Linked DNA regions of Solanum lycopersicum. The protein of the gene in region 1 interacts with the protein of each later gene in a pairwise test. Links are inferred from orthologs where the notes say so. Each region holds a gene or a part of one and is shown in the gene's direction. Other genes may lie near its edges.

What was found.
Region 2: the proteins of ADP-ribosylation factor GTPase-activating protein AGD3 (region 1) and VAN3-binding protein interact in binary tests that used the Arabidopsis thaliana proteins (3 or more experiments, as listed by UniProt). The link is inferred for Solanum lycopersicum from reciprocal best matches to the Arabidopsis thaliana genes SFC and FKD1.

What each region holds. Positions count from the first base shown.
Region 1 is NC_090804.1:32,001,368-32,009,393, forward strand, and holds part of ADP-ribosylation factor GTPase-activating protein AGD3, read left to right. Parts: intron 1-277; coding exon 278-378; intron 379-1,300; coding exon 1,301-1,371; intron 1,372-2,170; coding exon 2,171-2,233; intron 2,234-2,595; coding exon 2,596-2,640; intron 2,641-3,412; coding exon 3,413-3,478; intron 3,479-3,621; coding exon 3,622-3,669; intron 3,670-3,779; coding exon 3,780-3,875; intron 3,876-3,954; coding exon 3,955-3,996; intron 3,997-5,107; coding exon 5,108-5,323; intron 5,324-5,442; coding exon 5,443-5,574; intron 5,575-5,656; coding exon 5,657-5,881; intron 5,882-6,001; coding exon 6,002-6,088; intron 6,089-6,169; coding exon 6,170-6,505; intron 6,506-7,716; coding exon 7,717-7,862; intron 7,863-7,942; coding exon 7,943-8,026. UniProt on the Arabidopsis thaliana protein: GTPase-activating protein (GAP) for ADP ribosylation factor (ARF). Involved in the spatial control of provascular differentiation. Required for the formation of the normal pattern of continuous secondary veins.
Region 2 is NC_090808.1:60,539,235-60,547,688, forward strand, and holds the start of VAN3-binding protein, read left to right. Parts: upstream 1-3,862; 5' UTR 3,863-4,866; coding exon 4,867-5,190; intron 5,191-5,653; coding exon 5,654-5,791; intron 5,792-7,490; coding exon 7,491-7,932; intron 7,933-8,098; coding exon 8,099-8,335; intron 8,336-8,437; coding exon 8,438-8,454.

The sequences.
Region 1 (8,026 bases):
TTCTTAGAATCTTGTTGATGTATCTTTCCCGAAATTCTACTAGTTGGAACCTATTATTTTGGGAAGTCAGTGCAGGGTAGTTCAGCTGCCTGTCAATGGGCAAGTCATAGTGAAAGTTCAGTGTTATAGGGCTTGAATGTTTATATCAGTTCAATAGTTAGCTTTCCATAAGTCCTTTTATGGTTGTTTTGTTGATTAATAGACATCCAACCTCTTTTCCTATCCTTGGTGAATTTGTAGAAGTTTTCACGTATCAGGTTTTCTGTTCTACTTTCAGGGAGGGACTTGGAGAGGGATATGATGGAGATATTGCTTTCGCGAGCGCCCTGGAAACATTTGGTGGGGGGCACAATGATCCCATCAGTGTTGCATTTGGAGGTATGTAAAGAGCTGGTACATGTATTCATATGATATTTGGCAGCTACAAATGTTTATCCTACAGCAACAGGATCAGCACTCCACACACCATTTTCTCTGTCCATTTTTGTAATTTTTTTCAAGTGTTAATAACAATTCACAAAACATGAGATGCACTTCTTGTGGGTTCATAGATGAAGAGACATCTCATAGAGCAATGGAAGCATGGAAAATTATGGTCTGGGAAATATATGATTTTTCCAATCCTTGCCGTTCCCTTTAGAATACAGTCCAGTAACCTTCTATAGATGTTAACCACTAATTCACTGACTTGTGCAAGAATAAAGTCATCCACTATCCTGATTGTAGTCTCAAGTCCCTCTCTATTCTTTATTTTGTTTTCTTTAGTATCTGCCTATTTGGTATTACCATTTGAGGGAGTTGGACAATGAGACTTGATCATTGGTTAACGTGGTACTTGTTTATGTAATCTGGTGTTGGGACCACATCTCCAATTATTCACATGCCATTTATGACGAGAATGCCATGGAGGTTGAGAAAACTTCCTGGATCTGTTGTGCTTATTCACTAAGTAGACTTTACCATAGTTGTTAGTGAAGTGAGACTTAAATGAGGATCTTCTGCTTTGCAACACTTACAAGGATCGAGAAAGTATAAGTTAGTGTTCGACTGAAAATCTCCACAACTTTTCTCCCCTCATTTTTGGCATCAGCTAAATGTCGTTTTTCATCGAAAGTTTGTCTGACCTGCTTAGAGAGATTGGCTCTACTAAATGCAGAGATAACTTTTCAATATTCTAATTATAGTGCTTTGACCTTTATGATTTCATCCTTCCGCACTTCACTTTGCAACTAATAGTTTCGACATGTGATCTGTTGAATAATGATCCATTGTTCAGTCACTTGCTCCGTTCTAAATGTAGGCCCTGTAATGACTAAATTTACTATTGCACTGAGGGAAATCGGGACTTATAAGGAAGTTCTTCGGTCACAGGTAAAGCTTTGCAGTATCTTTTGTTTCTCAATTTTATTTTATTGCTGGAATATTACTTCTGATGCTGTATTTCTGAACTCCTTATTTGGGGCAGAAAGCAGCATCAGTTGCCTTTCAAGAGATGACTTCAAAACATCTAACCAATATCACCCTTTTCTGTGGGGTGTGCTTCTGAATTATTGCCTTGACCAGTTACTTTCACCTTGATATGCAGTATATGGCTACTAAGTAGATTTTGATTGAGCTCTATTTTGAGATCTATTATGTCCTCGACACTCATTTCCACAATATCTGTGTTAAAATGTTGCCCATCTTAAATTTTAAGAACACTAACTCTGAGTTTCACCATCTGCGACCTAAAACATATGGTTCTTTTTTCTGTTCCCTCTTCTTTTTCTCTCATCTTTTAAGCAAACTTGAATGTTGATTTTGTTTCAGTAATTTATGGAAATTCTTCTTGTGCTAGTTGAATTATTTGCTGTTGTATTTCTACTTTAGCAAAATTTTCTGATCCCTTTGACATTTTATTCTTGATATTTCCTCCTTCGAGGCTGTCCTTCCTGTGGAAAGAACAAATTTATAACTGCAAGTGATTTCTTCTCATCTGCTTAAGCATTTGAGGGAAGATTTAGGTACCTGTGTTGTTGGGAGGTAGCAGGAACCGGATGGAATGGTCGAGATACACACAAGTTGGCCCTGGAGAAAAAAAAATAGAACTGCAAGTGATCTATTTAGTCTCATAGTGGCATATGCATTTAACTAATTACCTACTTCTCCAACATTCATACTGTCTTCTCAGGTTGAGCACATGCTGAATGATCGTTTACTGCAGTTTGTTAACATAGATCTGCAAGATGTCAAGGTACTACCATTCTTTTACTTCCTTTCTATTCTAAAAGGCATTTTTGATTACTAATTCAGGATATGTAAGTGTCCATGACTTTGGTTAGTGTTAAGCGAAGTGTGTTCTCTGTGGATTAGGCACATGTAACAGTTCTGAGCCCTGCCATCGTCAAAAAGTCTGGTATTTTAGTGGATAATGTGGAGGGTGGGCCCATTATCTGCCGAGTTTTGAACAATGAGACATTGGCCTTTGTGGGTTTCTCGGTCATTTTAAAAATGAACAAAAACATCTATATGTGAAAAACCTGATTTTGTGGGCTTGCATACCCAAATATAAAACAATTGTGCAAGTATTTGCTACAAGGAGTTCTCTTTGTGCAGGAAGCTCGGAAGCGCTTTGACAAGGCAAGCCTAATTTATGATCAGGTATTCTCATTCCTAATTCTCATTAGATGATTAGAAATTTCACCATCTGATGAACTGAAGATATAATATTTCCTGTAGAGAACTATATAGTATGCAGAACTTATTCCTCTATTAACAACAACAACAACAACGTGCCTAGTGTATTCCCACAGAGTGAGGTCTAGGGAGGGCAAAGTGTACGCAAACCATACCTCTACCTTAGGCGAGGTAGAGTCTAGAGAATCTGTTTCTGATAGACTCTTAGCTCAAGACAAAAACAGACTAAAGAAAGACGTAATAGAAGTAACAATGCTACAACCAAATAATACTACAATCAAACTACACAAAACAACATGTATCAACAAGATCGAAGAACAAGAAACTACAAGCATAGCACTAAGACTAATAGTAAGGGCACCAACTAACTTTCTAGCATGAACATACTCCTACCTACTAACCTTCTACCCTAATTCACGTCCTCCACACCTTCCTATATGTCGGCAATGGGATTAAAAGACTTAATTTTCAGAAAATGGTCTTAATGCATTGGCCACTACATATCTATTATCACGATATTCTGGTTTACCTCGATCATTTCCTCCCATTTAAAAATTTATCCTGGTGATATATGTAAGCACTTCAATGGGGTTGAAGAAACTCTTTAAGTTTGCACAAAAAACTTGCAAGATAATTGAAATTCTGAGTTAAATAATAGGAACGCTTTACACTTTCTCTGTTTGTGATTTAAGGATCTTCTATTATATCAATTAACATTATATGCTCCATGCTGCAGGCCCGCGAGAAGTTTTTGTCACTAAGAAAAGGCACAAAAAGTGATGTTGCCAGTGTACTGGAGGAGGTATTGACAGACATAGCAGCTAACCATTCGTACTGCCTATTACCTTCTGAAGTCGCTCTTGTTTAACTGTTGCACATATTTTTGCCTACTCTGAAAATAAAGGAAGGGAAAAAACTTACTTAACACGACTTTAACTCTTCTAGGAACTTCATAATGCAAGATCAACTTTTGAGCAAGCTCGATTCAGTTTGGTGAGTGAATCTGGAGCTAGAACATTTCTTAAGACTTTTCAATTTAAAAAGTGTTACCACAATAGCAATGGTCTGTTGACTTGTTTTTTCTATTTGAATCCTAAATCCAGGTAACCGCTCTTTCTAATGTGGAAGCAAAGAAACGGTTTGAATTCCTGGAAGCAGTTAGTGGTACAATGGATGCTCATCTTCGTTATTTCAAACAGGCATGTCATTCTGTTGGGGATATTCTAGCCTATTTGTTTTCAATTTCTCACATTCTATTTCTATTTCTCTATCTTTTAGGGGTATGAGCTTTTGCATCAGATGGAGCCATATATCAATCAGGTTTGTCTTTGTTTTTGGTTTCATTGGTGGCAATTTGATATTTGATTGAGGCTGCTTCAATTAAAATCACAGATTAGGTAGCAACAAATTTTGGTTTATTTCCTACAGAAAGGTTAATGATCAAAATTTACATTTAGATAACGGTAAATGAGAATACTCTGCATCCTTCTGCAACTATCCTCTGTTTCTTCCTTTTTTTTTTTACTTAGAATGGTCTCAACTGGCACTTTTCATGTCTCATGAGTCTCAACACGCACAGGAAACATTCTTGTAATGTTTCAAGGACTATTTGTTATGTGTTACTCCCTTTCTTCCATTTTTGCGGTATTATTTCATTACTAGTCTGTTCCAAAAAGAATGACAGTTTCCATTTTTATGCGGTATTTTTATTTTGGTGTAAAAAGTTGTCTATAGTAGATACAGATCAGATTGTAGATTCGATAGGAAGTTTGTAATTGACACTTTTTGGTGGTGGACAGCATGCCTTTAATGCTGAAGAATACAAGCTTAACAGTTTAAAAAAAAAATGTTTGGAAGTTTCCATTATACCCTTAATGAGAACCTTTTGTACTCACACAAATATCATTGCGTGTTTAAGACTATGAGTTTCAAAAGTCTGTTCCTTAACCCTTCGGGGTGGCCCAGTGGTTTGAGCTTGGGACTTCCATGTTGGAGGTCTCAAGTTCGAAACCCCTTGCCAGCGAAAGCAAGGGGTTTGCCTTCTGGGTCGAGCTCGTCGAACAAGGCTTGCCTAGTGCGGGTTACCTCTCCTATGTGGTTTGCGAGCTATTGCATAGGAGCGGGGTTTTTACCCTGTGCGCACCCAAAGGGTAGCGGCTGCATGTTTCCCTTGTCATCAAAGAAAAAAAAAGTCTGTTCCTTAAACTCCATATCAATACAAACTGCACCACATATAAGAGCTGGAAAAGAAGGAGTGTATTATGTAGCATTGGTTTATTGTTTGTCAGGGGACCTAGAATGACTGGTATTGGGAGTTATTGAACACTTAAGTTGCTGCCGATGTGACATGATTTTGAAATGCATAAATAGTAATCTATATCTGTTGCTTTCTCTAAGTGGTAGATATTCAATGTCATTTATTTTTTTGCAGGTCCTGACTTACGCACAGCAGTCTCGAGAACGCTCCAACTATGAGAAAGCAGCTCTTAATGAAAAGATGCAAGAATACAAGAGACAAGTAGATCGAGAGAGCAGGTGGTTGTCCAATGGTTCTAATGGATCCCCTAATGGAGATGGTATACAAGCCATTGGCAGAAGTTCACACAAGCAAATAGAAGCTGTCATGCAATCTGCTGCAAGGGGAAAGGTGTTGAAAACCTCTGTATTAACTTTATTGTACCCTTTATTATTGCTTTCATGTTCTTAAGTACTCCTTTTGTTTACTCTTTGCACCTATAGTCAGCTAAAATTACAGTGGTCTTTCAGGTTCAAACCATTAGACAAGGTTATCTATCAAAGCGCTCATCAAATTTGAGGGGAGACTGGAAAAGAAGGTTCTTTGTTCTTGATAGCCGTGGAATGTTGTATTACTATCGCAAACAGAACACAAAACCATCTGTGAGTATTATAGGCTGGGATGTAAAAGAAATACCATCAAACCCTACTTTGTGGTCTCTTGAGTTCACTTTCTGGTTTGCAGGGGTCAGGTAGTCAACATTCTGGCCAGAGAAATAGTTCAGAGCTTGGTTCTGGACTTCTTAGTCGCTGGCTTTCGTCCCATTATCATGGTGGTGTACACGATGAAAAGTCTGTTGCTCATCACACTGTAAACCTTTTGACATCAACTATAAAGGTTGATGCTGACCAATCAGATCTGCGGTTTTGCTTCAGGATTATCTCCCCTACAAAGAGCTACACCTTGCAGGTGAATTGCTATTGAATTTTCATTTTGGGTATCTCATGTCATCCAATGCACTGTTGTTGCAGGGTGGAGTTTCTGCTAGACTTGTGAGATCAAAATTTATCGGTTTCCCTCTTATTGTAGGCAGAGAGTGCCTTGGACCAAATGGATTGGATTGAGAAAATAACAGGAGTTATTGCTTCTTTGTTGAGTTCTCAGGCCCCTGACAGGGTAACTATTGGAAGCTGCTATACATTTTTGTTGTCTTTACTTCGATGCACAATCAATAATAGTTTACAATCTTTATTTCAGTGTTTGACTGCCAGTCCTATGGGAAGTGGTCATCATCGATCTGCCAGTGAGAGCAGTTCATTTGAAAGTTCAGATTTTGACCCGCCTGCAGTTGAAGACCATCCGTCTGACAGGCTTATCTCAGCGCATCATGATCGCCCTTTCAGAAATTCACAGCAGCTACGATCTGCTCCAAAAAGTGAACAGCCAATTGCCACACTACGTAGAGTATGTGGAAATGATAGATGCGCTGACTGTGGTGCTGCTGAACCAGATTGGGCATCTTTAAATCTTGGTGTTCTTGTTTGTATTGAATGTTCAGGTGTTCATCGTAATCTTGGTGTGCATATATCAAAGGTGAACTTTTAGATTTCTGCTAAGTATTATTTAGCCACAGGCTATATTGCATCTTGCTGGGATCTAAAATTCATTTCTTTTCTATGCACATTCAGAGGATCCAAAATTTATTTCTTTTAGGTGCATATTCATTTGTTTCTAGTTAGAAAAGTTAAAGTTGGGAAGCCCAAACTCTAGCAACTCCATGGATTTTATATTGTTTTAACATTCTAGAGTTTTATTACGATTTCAAACTTTTAAGCAGCAGATGGTACAAGATCTTCTAGAAGGTTGTTTCTTATTCTCAAATTTTATTGACTGAAAACCAGTTTGTTTGTTTAGGAGGTTGACACCCATGTATTTCTTCCTGGTTCATGGCTCTAATATATTTGACTATCTAAAATTCCTTAGGTAGCTGAATAGTCAGAAAAATGAAATTTCTGGTGCTTCTCTTGGTGGTAGCTTTAAAGATACTTGTGATACTGGTGTACTGGTAGATTATGAAACTTAAGACTAGCTTTTGCAACGGATGCATGCCCATTTATTATTTCTGGCAGAGTTGGAGTTTTTTTTTTTAGAGAAGGTGTGTTTTGAGCATCTATTTGTATAAACCCCTCTGAACATTGTATTGGAATGGCCTTTCTGTAGTTAACAACCAGTTAGTGGCCGTTTGGTAGCCGGATAAGAAACAAGTTATCCATGTATTAATTTCCGTATTACTTATACACGCTTGGTAGGTATATTGGAAATAAGTTATTATTTATGCATAAAATTAATACGTTTGGTTGACAATTTAGAAACTGCATAACTAATACATGTATAAGTTATGAGAGAATCTATGTCGTTTGGTAGCCGGATAAGAAACAAGTTATCCATGTATTAATTTCCGTATTACTTATACACGCTTGGTAGGTATATTGGAAATAAGTTATTATTTATGCATAAAATTAATTCGTTTGGTTGACAATTTAGAAACTGCATAACTAATACATGTATAAGTTATGAGAGAATCTATGTATTATTTTATGCAATATAGAAGGTGGAATAACTAATACATAATTAATACCTGCATAAAGTAATACATAAATTCACTCATAACTAATCCTTACAATACTAATACCTGCAGAACTCTAACCAGCCACCAAGCTACCAAACGACCCTTTATTACATTTATAGTGGTGCATTGAGTTGGTTTCTGCATCTTGTCCTCAGTTGTGATCATCTCTCTGCAGGTGAGGTCACTCACACTTGATGTCAAAGTGTGGGAGCCTTCTGTTATAGCTTTATTTCAGTCGTTGGGGAATACCTTTGCAAATTCAGTCTGGGAAGAGTCACTGCAAGCTCGAGGTGCTTTCCAAGTTAATGTTTCCGCTGCCAGGTTGGTTACCTGCTCAAATCATTTCTCATCTGAAGTTTATCTTCATCTTTCTGATATAGCTTATACATTGGAAACTGAAGCTCATACAGATCTGATAAACAGCAACAGCTCTACATCAGCAAGCCAAGTCATGCTGATCCCATTTCAACCAAGGAGAAATTCAT
Region 2 (8,454 bases), on another chromosome or scaffold:
AGAAAAAGTATATATAAGCATCTTAATGATTATTATTCGTTGTAGAGTACATTTTTAGAAAAGAAAAAGAGAAGGAAAAGTATTAGTTGAGAATCTCACTTTCAACAAGTGCTTTTTGAGAAAATGGCAATCGTTTAATTAACACGATATAGTGTGTGTTTGGTTGGAAACATTTTCTCAAAAAATATACAAATTTTTTTCTGACGTTATGTTTGATAATAAGCAATAACATTATTTCAAAAATATTTATACGTAATTTAGAAAAACACTATGAAAGAGGATGTGGAAGTTGGGAGGCTTTGACGGTGGAATAGACAACGAAAGGCGTTTGGCCAAACGATATCATATTACGATATAAAATCAGCGTTTGGACATCTGATTCCACACTAATTCTATCTCATGATTTCCATTCATGAGATGAGAATTTCATATCATGATTTGGAATTTTTTAGATATAAAAATGGACCCACAAGTTTATATTTTATTAAAACAATCCACATGTATAACTAATAATCATTTATTGTAAATAAAATTAATAATCACATCTTTAATTTTTAAAATTTATTATTGCTTTAAATTTGATAAATATAAATGATAAAGTATGAATTGATTTGATGAATATAAATAAGTACATGGAAGTAATACTTTTTTGGTTTTTCATAATTGAAAATGCTTCTCTTTCGACTACATATGAAAATGTTTAAAATAATTTAGTATAAAAAGGGACAAAATTGGTGATGTATGTTTGAGAATCACTGCTTCCAATATGTTTGTTTTTAGCAAGAAACTAATGCACTGAAAATGTGTAATTGCACACAAGTGAAACAAGGCATGAACCATATATATGATATTGACACACAAGTAAAAATTGTCATAACTTTTACAGCATTACATAATTATTTGCGAGAATGTCAAAGGAGTGATGAAATTTTTATGATTTATGAGCATGAAAATATAGTTGTGACTGATATTGACCAACAAATGGCTCAACGTAACAATGTTGGTTCGTCTTCACGATCGTACAGTCGAGAAATGCAAGTTCAACGTGAGAAGGTTGTTCGTGCTATGTGAGAGGATTATATTAAATACTAGTACACTATAATTTGTGTACAATAGTTTTTATTGAATTAAAGTTTGAGCAATTAAAGTTAAATGAAACAGTTAATTAATTGAAGAACAAATAATTTTATAATAATTATTATGCGATTTAATTAATTTTTATTTATTTGATAAGATTAAATAAACAATTGAAGCTATTTTAATGGAGTAGTTCATAACTTATGAGATTTTTATGTATATAAAAAAAATATACAACACAAAAATGTCAAATTACATGTCCAAATAAAATTTCAACTTTATCTCATGATTTCATATTTTGATATCATATCATGATTGTATATCATATGACCGAACCGACCCTTATAATAATTGTTTACTAAAAGTCATTTTTCTGATTTTTAAATAACTTGTGTCCAACATATTTTGATCAACAAAAATGAGAAAAATTAGAAGTAATTTTTAAGAAATATTGAGCCAGTCGAGTTCCCCACTGAGGAAGTAAAAAAGAATACTTACTGCCTTTCCTTTTTTTTTTTTTCCTCTTGCATATTTTTGCCAGTTTGCTGCATCCAAATTTATTTCTAAAAAATTTATATATAATCGAATAAAAAAAACTTGAAATTTTATTTATGATTTTTTTTTATTTTTAAAAAAAGTCATTTTAGTTATATTATTAGAAAAAATAATTTTTAATCTGATCAACCAATAGATTTTTCCATAGCAAACTGTATATATTAGAATTTAAAATATGTGCTTATACTAGTGGCATATATTCACTTTCCTAGAAGATTTAGCACTCCGATTCACTGACATAAAATTTCAAAATTGACTCTAATTTTCTTCTAGATAAGGGCATTCGAAAATATTACATAAAATAAGCAAATATCTTTAGTATAATTATCACATTACTTTAAAATGATTACATAATCACACATTATTTAATTTGGATTTGAATTTATAAAGGGTAGGTGATTGATACCATAATCATTGAAGGACCACTATTAAGTCATAATTATACAAGATGATATATGCATCTATGCACAAATATATGTACTTGGATAAGTGTATCTTTATTCTTCTTTTTCTAAAAATTTATGTATGCACAAATACATTAGATATATCACAAATTTGATATTATGTGCATGTAATTTAATTTTTATATTGGTATGATGTGCTTATGCATAGATACGCTACATATATCACAATTACATTGGATATATCATTACCATTTCAGAATCAATGCATAATTATGTACAAATAGATCGTATACATCAATGCATTCTTAAAAACTAAATACATGATATTGATAGTGCATGCTAGATATTCGATACTGAACACACTGAATGAAATTGACATCGATAAAAACACTAGATAAATCAATGTATATTTGATACTGAATACATGAAATTAATAGTGGATAAACTAGATACTTATTTTACACCGAACACGCTTAATGACATTTACATGCACGAATACACTAAATACACTAATGCATAATCGATTTTGAATATATATATACATAAAGTTGTAAAACTCAATATATTATAAAATACATATACAATGAAACACATGAATAAGAGAGAGAGGAGAGAAGCGAGATATATTAGTTCAATGTCGTGTATCTAAAGGCAAACTCAGGATAAGATGTAATTATTGAATCAATCGTTATATTAAATAACTAATGCATATACTTTATGAAAATTTCCCTATAACTTTTACTTATTTCTTAACCCTTACAATTATACAATAAAAAAAAAATGGCAATATTATTTGTAAGTTTATGTTAGGACAATGTATATATTTTAAAAGTAGGAACAAATATTGAATAGATTACGTAAAAAATGATCATTAATGATAATAAATTTTTAATTGTCGCTAAATATGTATTTTTAGTGACAATTAGCATTCTTTATATATGTTCCTAAACCTTTAATGACATTGGTTCTAATGACACTCAATTATTGTCAGTAAAAACTTTAACAATCTTTATTAATATCAATACTTATTGTCATTAAAAATTATTTTTATTGTATTGATAAAATGATATTTATACCATATAAACCATATTAGTGGTGTAGGCCCTATTGGAAAGCTTTATTAGTTTTCATTTGTGGGACAATTGAACTTTAGCTTTTACCCACCACTGTATGCCTGGGATCAACCAAAATATTTGGTGTAATTATCTTTCAAAAGAAATCCCTGACAATAAGTCAAACACAATTGCTTGACCTTGCCCCACTTGCCCTCATTTTCAACAATTTTATCCCTCAACTGAAACACACTCAATAATTGGTTAGATTTTTAATCTAACATGTTATTATTAGTAGAAAATGATTTAAATTAAGGTTGTGTTCGATGAAAAGAAATTTTTTTTTGGATAGGCAAAATATTGTTTTTTAGAAAATATATTCTTTAAAAATGAAGAAAATAAACGGTGAAAGCATGAGAAAAAAATTTAAATAATTAATGACGTTTCGTGTTGATTGTGTTATCTTCACCCTCTGATACACTTTATTTTGATCCCACTCATTATAACACTCATCTTTGTGATACCTCTAACTTATATAATGTTTACCTAAATTATATATAATTATTAAATAATATTTTTTTTATGAAAATTTTTATCATACCAACCTAAGTCCACTTTCTTTGAAAAGCATGCTATACAAGTGGGCAAAAATTTTCTTTTGTATTTATAAGAACGATTAAATTCCCTTAATTTTTAGATATAACATTTTGTACTTCTTTAAAAAATCTTCTTATTACAATTATAGGTTTTGCTTTGTTTAGTACTGATTTTTGCACTATTTTTTTAATGTTTGGATTTGTTATACTTGAACCGAAGAGTTCAAACCATTTTACCTCTATATACTTGAGCTGATGGTAAAATTTATATATATTCTATCCGTTGAGTATATTGTTGTTATTGGCTCCATCAATGTTTATCTTATTTTATAAGATTCATTTATGTTGATATGTTTGGCCAAATTTTTCGAAAATAAAAATATTTTTTATGATTAAAAAAGTAATTTTTTCATATTAATTTGTTTGTCCGAAATTTGAATTGACACCAAATTTTAAAAAGTGAAGAAAATATATAAATTTTGTGATTTTAAACTAAAATTATGTAGAATGTATCAAAATATTATCTTGATCACGTACGATGAAAAATTAGAATCGTTGAACATCATATTCATAATTCTTCTTGCTTTTTAAGCTCCATATCAAATTAAAATAAAACAAATAAATTAGATCGAATGTAATACTTTATTTATCTTTTCTTACCTAACCTGATAGTGTAACATTACATCAATACATATAAGTTAAAATAATTATGAAAATGACTTAACAATCAATGTGTTTTAACGAAGCTATTATACCAATTTACATGATTTACTTTTTTTTTTAATCAACTTAAAAAAGTATGATACATTTTTATATTAAGTAACAATTTAACTATAAAATATCTATTTTATACTTAATAAAATGATTTACATCCACACAAATTGCTATGATTCATTTTGAATCACAAATTTAAAAGTCTTTCTTTCTTTCTTAAACTCCGAATTAAACTATCTCGTATAAAATGAATCGGAGGAGTATTACATTACAATTATTATAGTCATTTTTCAGTCATATGTGTACAAAACAGGACAACATTAACAAGTCAAGTTCCCACTATAAAAACACCCCCAAAATCTAAAAATTAACAAGACCCCTGCACTCTTTTTCAAAAGCAATTCACACTCTTACTAGTTGTTACTACTAAAAATTTGCTCCTATTAGTGTTTTTTTTTCTTCTTCTTGATGGATAATAGATGGTCAGAAAAGAACCTGAATATGAATCTTCCAGAAAGTCCAAAAGCACCAATGGAGTTTTTGTCAAGATCATGGAGTGCCTCTGCTTTGCAAGTTTGCAAGGCATTAACAACAACTTCTTCATTATCATCATCCTCATCTCTTCCTACGAAGACGAATAATAATAATAATAGTGTTGTTGTTACTATACCAGAGAACATTATCTCTGTTGTTGAGGAAGAAGATTCTGCTAATAAGCTTGCTGGAAACACATTCTCTTTTGCTTCCTCTGCTACTTCACAACTTGTTCTTGATCGCATTATGTCTCAATCTGTAAGTACCGTCAACCCTCTCTCTAACAGTATCGTTTGTCTGGATGTGTTTTGATTGCTCCAACGAAATATTGTTACAAAGTGTGTATGATGTATAACAAAAATTGTTCACAAAACAATTTTGTTATAGAGACGTATGATGTTAAACATTTTGATTGATATAAGCAATATGAATCGTAGAAATTTATGTAGTTGGTCTAAAAACGAACAATATATCACCATATTAAACGTATTTTTGGACCATTTTATTGCAACAAAAAAAATAGTACGGTTATAAGGAGGTATGGCCGATAGACTATACAAGTAGAATTACATTCATGATGCAACTTATTTGGAATTAGTTTATTATAAAAATGAAAAGGGAAAGGGGTGTTTTATTTTTGTTTGTTTAGAATATTATTATGTACAGGGGAATTTCATGGAGTAATTTAGTATTTTTAACATTATTTATGTTTTTTTATTAGATGCATAATGGGCAGGAAATATCACCATTAACATCAGGAAGATTATCTCATAGTAGTGGGCCTTTGAATGGTTCTCTGACTGAAGAAACTGATAGTCCTCCAGTCTCACCTTCTGAAGAATTTGAAGATGTTGTTAAGGTAATTAATTTCTCTCATTAATGTTAATTAATTTCATAAATCACTTTATTTTGTTATTTAAATGTTTGATTATGATAAGGTGTTGTTATTAGTTAATGATGATAGTAGTAGAAAAAAAGGGGTTATGTATGAATTGGACCCATTTCCAAAGTTAAACATAATACACTTTTGTTAATATCAATGTACAACTTTTTCTTGCTTTACAAATTACAAGGATGCTTTAGCCGTCTAATCAAACTCACCTTTTGACTTTGTTTAGGGAATAAATCTATCTACCCCCACAAATGGCCATAAAAGAAAAAGAAAAAGATGTTAACTTTGGTTTTATACGAGATAAAAAAAAAGTTAGTAAAACAAAAAAAAGTAAACATAAACTTTTTTTTATAGAAAATTGCAAAAGGGCCAATTTGGCGCTTAAAATGAATTTAAGTTACTCGCTCGCTTTCTCTTTTACTTGTTTACTATTTTAGTAATGTATTTTTCACTTTTATTGTGTTCACTTTTAATATAACAAAAAAAAATAATTATTTGGTAATTAAAAGCCTTTTAATTATAGACTAAACCTTGTAATAACATAACATGATCTATATATATATATATAACCTATCGTATGGAGTACCTTGTTATTATGTATAGCACGTGAAGATGTCATATGTAGAAATGGCCAATTTTTGTTTTTGTCTTAATTAACTTTCACAAAAATATGCTACAAGTACAATTCAAAATTGACTTAGATTTATTGTTGTATCTAGTTAGCTATGGATTATCAAAACAGAAACTTTTAAGTGGAGTGTGTGAATGGAAAATTGATACTCTTTTTGTCATTTTTTATCATTTTGTCATTACAATTTTCAGTATTCTGTCACTTACCAATTTCAGAATTCTGCCTTGCTTGTTTTTTAGTGTTCTATCAACATGTTTTCCTCTCTTGTGTTAAAAGTTAAATTTTACCTATTTATTTCAATGTTATACATTTTCATGTTTGTTATTTGCATGTTGTAGTCAACTTCATTAAAGTCATATTCAAGATTTTTCTCATAGATTTTGAGAAATTATCTTATTTGGTCATTAAATTTGATATCATCAATCTTCAAGTATTTTTCAAGTGACAAGTTTTTGGATTTTCACTCATAAAAACTCAAGCAAAATGGATGTCACATGACTTCAAAAACTCAAATCTATAGTCAAACAGAAGCTTAGATTTTACTGGTGTTCACGGTCAATCAACTCAATTTAATTAATATGTTTAGTAAGGTCTCAAATTCGAAATCCCCTGTTAGCGAAAGCAAAGAGTTTGCCTTTCGAATCAAGCTCATCAAACTTGTTTAGTGCGAATTACCCTTCTTATGTAGTTTGCGAGCTATTGTATAACAACAGAGTTTTATCCTGTACACCCCAAAAAATAGCGATTGCGAATTTTCGTGTTCGTCACTTTTTTTTTTTAATAGTCGAGTGACTTAATGTATGAAAATATGTATTAATTAACTATGTTTAAGTGATTAAAAAAAAAGCATATGTAATGTATTTATCGGTCTAGTGTAAAAACACTGTACAAATAAGTTTTTACCATCTTACATATTGACCATTATACATTTGAATCATGTGATCAAATATGAATATTTTCATACTTCAATACTAATAAAAAAAATATTGAGTTCAGTTAATTGACCATATTTCATTTTCTCATATTGTGTTACAGTATTTGAAAGCAAACAGCACTCTGCAACCATTATTTACAAATGTAAGAACAGGATACACTGGATCAGCTGTTGGGTTAGCACCCAACACGCCTGGTGGTAAGACAGTTGGCAGATGGTTAAAAGAAAGGAGAGAGAAAAAGAAAGAAGAAAGTAGGGCCCAAAATGCCCAACTTCATGCTGTTGTTTCAGTGGCTGGAGTTGCTGCTTCGGTGGCCGCAATTGCTGCGGCCACCGCATCAGCTTCGTCCACCGCCAAAGATGAGCAAATGGCGAAGACTGATGCTGCTGTCGCTTCGGCAGCCATGCTGATTGCCGCGCAGTGCGTGGAGGCTGCCGAAGTTATGGGAGCTGATCGGGACCATCTCATGTCCGCGATCAGCTCTGCTGTTAATGTTCGATCTCATGGAGATATTTCAACTCTTACTGCTGCTGCTGCTACAGGTGACTAACAAAATACTTCTATTGTTCAATTTTATACAAGTTTTAAGTGTTAAAATTTATGCACACCAAAGATGCAAAACATAAATATCTTAAACAACAAATCCAATTCGACGAGCTAATATTTGGGATTTGAGATAGTTCTAATATGTTCTTTGTTTTTTCGCAGCATTGCGAGGGGCAGCAACATTAAAAGCAAGAGCATTGAAGGAAGTATGGAACATTGCAGCAGTAATTCCAATAGAGAAGGGAATAGGTGGAGGCACAGGGCGAAACAACGACCAAAATCACAGCAACAACAATAATAATTATTGTGAGGGACTTGACATTGAAGAGAACTTTTTGGGGGTTTGTAATCAAGAATTACTTGCTCGAGGACGTGAGCTTCTCAAAAGAACTCGTAATGGTAATTTGCATAATTCTTTCCCCTGCTAACAATGCCACAAAAATTTGATTTTCTTTTTTTCTGTTCTGTTTCTAAATTTTTGTTTTATTTTGCGGTTTTCAGGTGATCTACACTGGAAA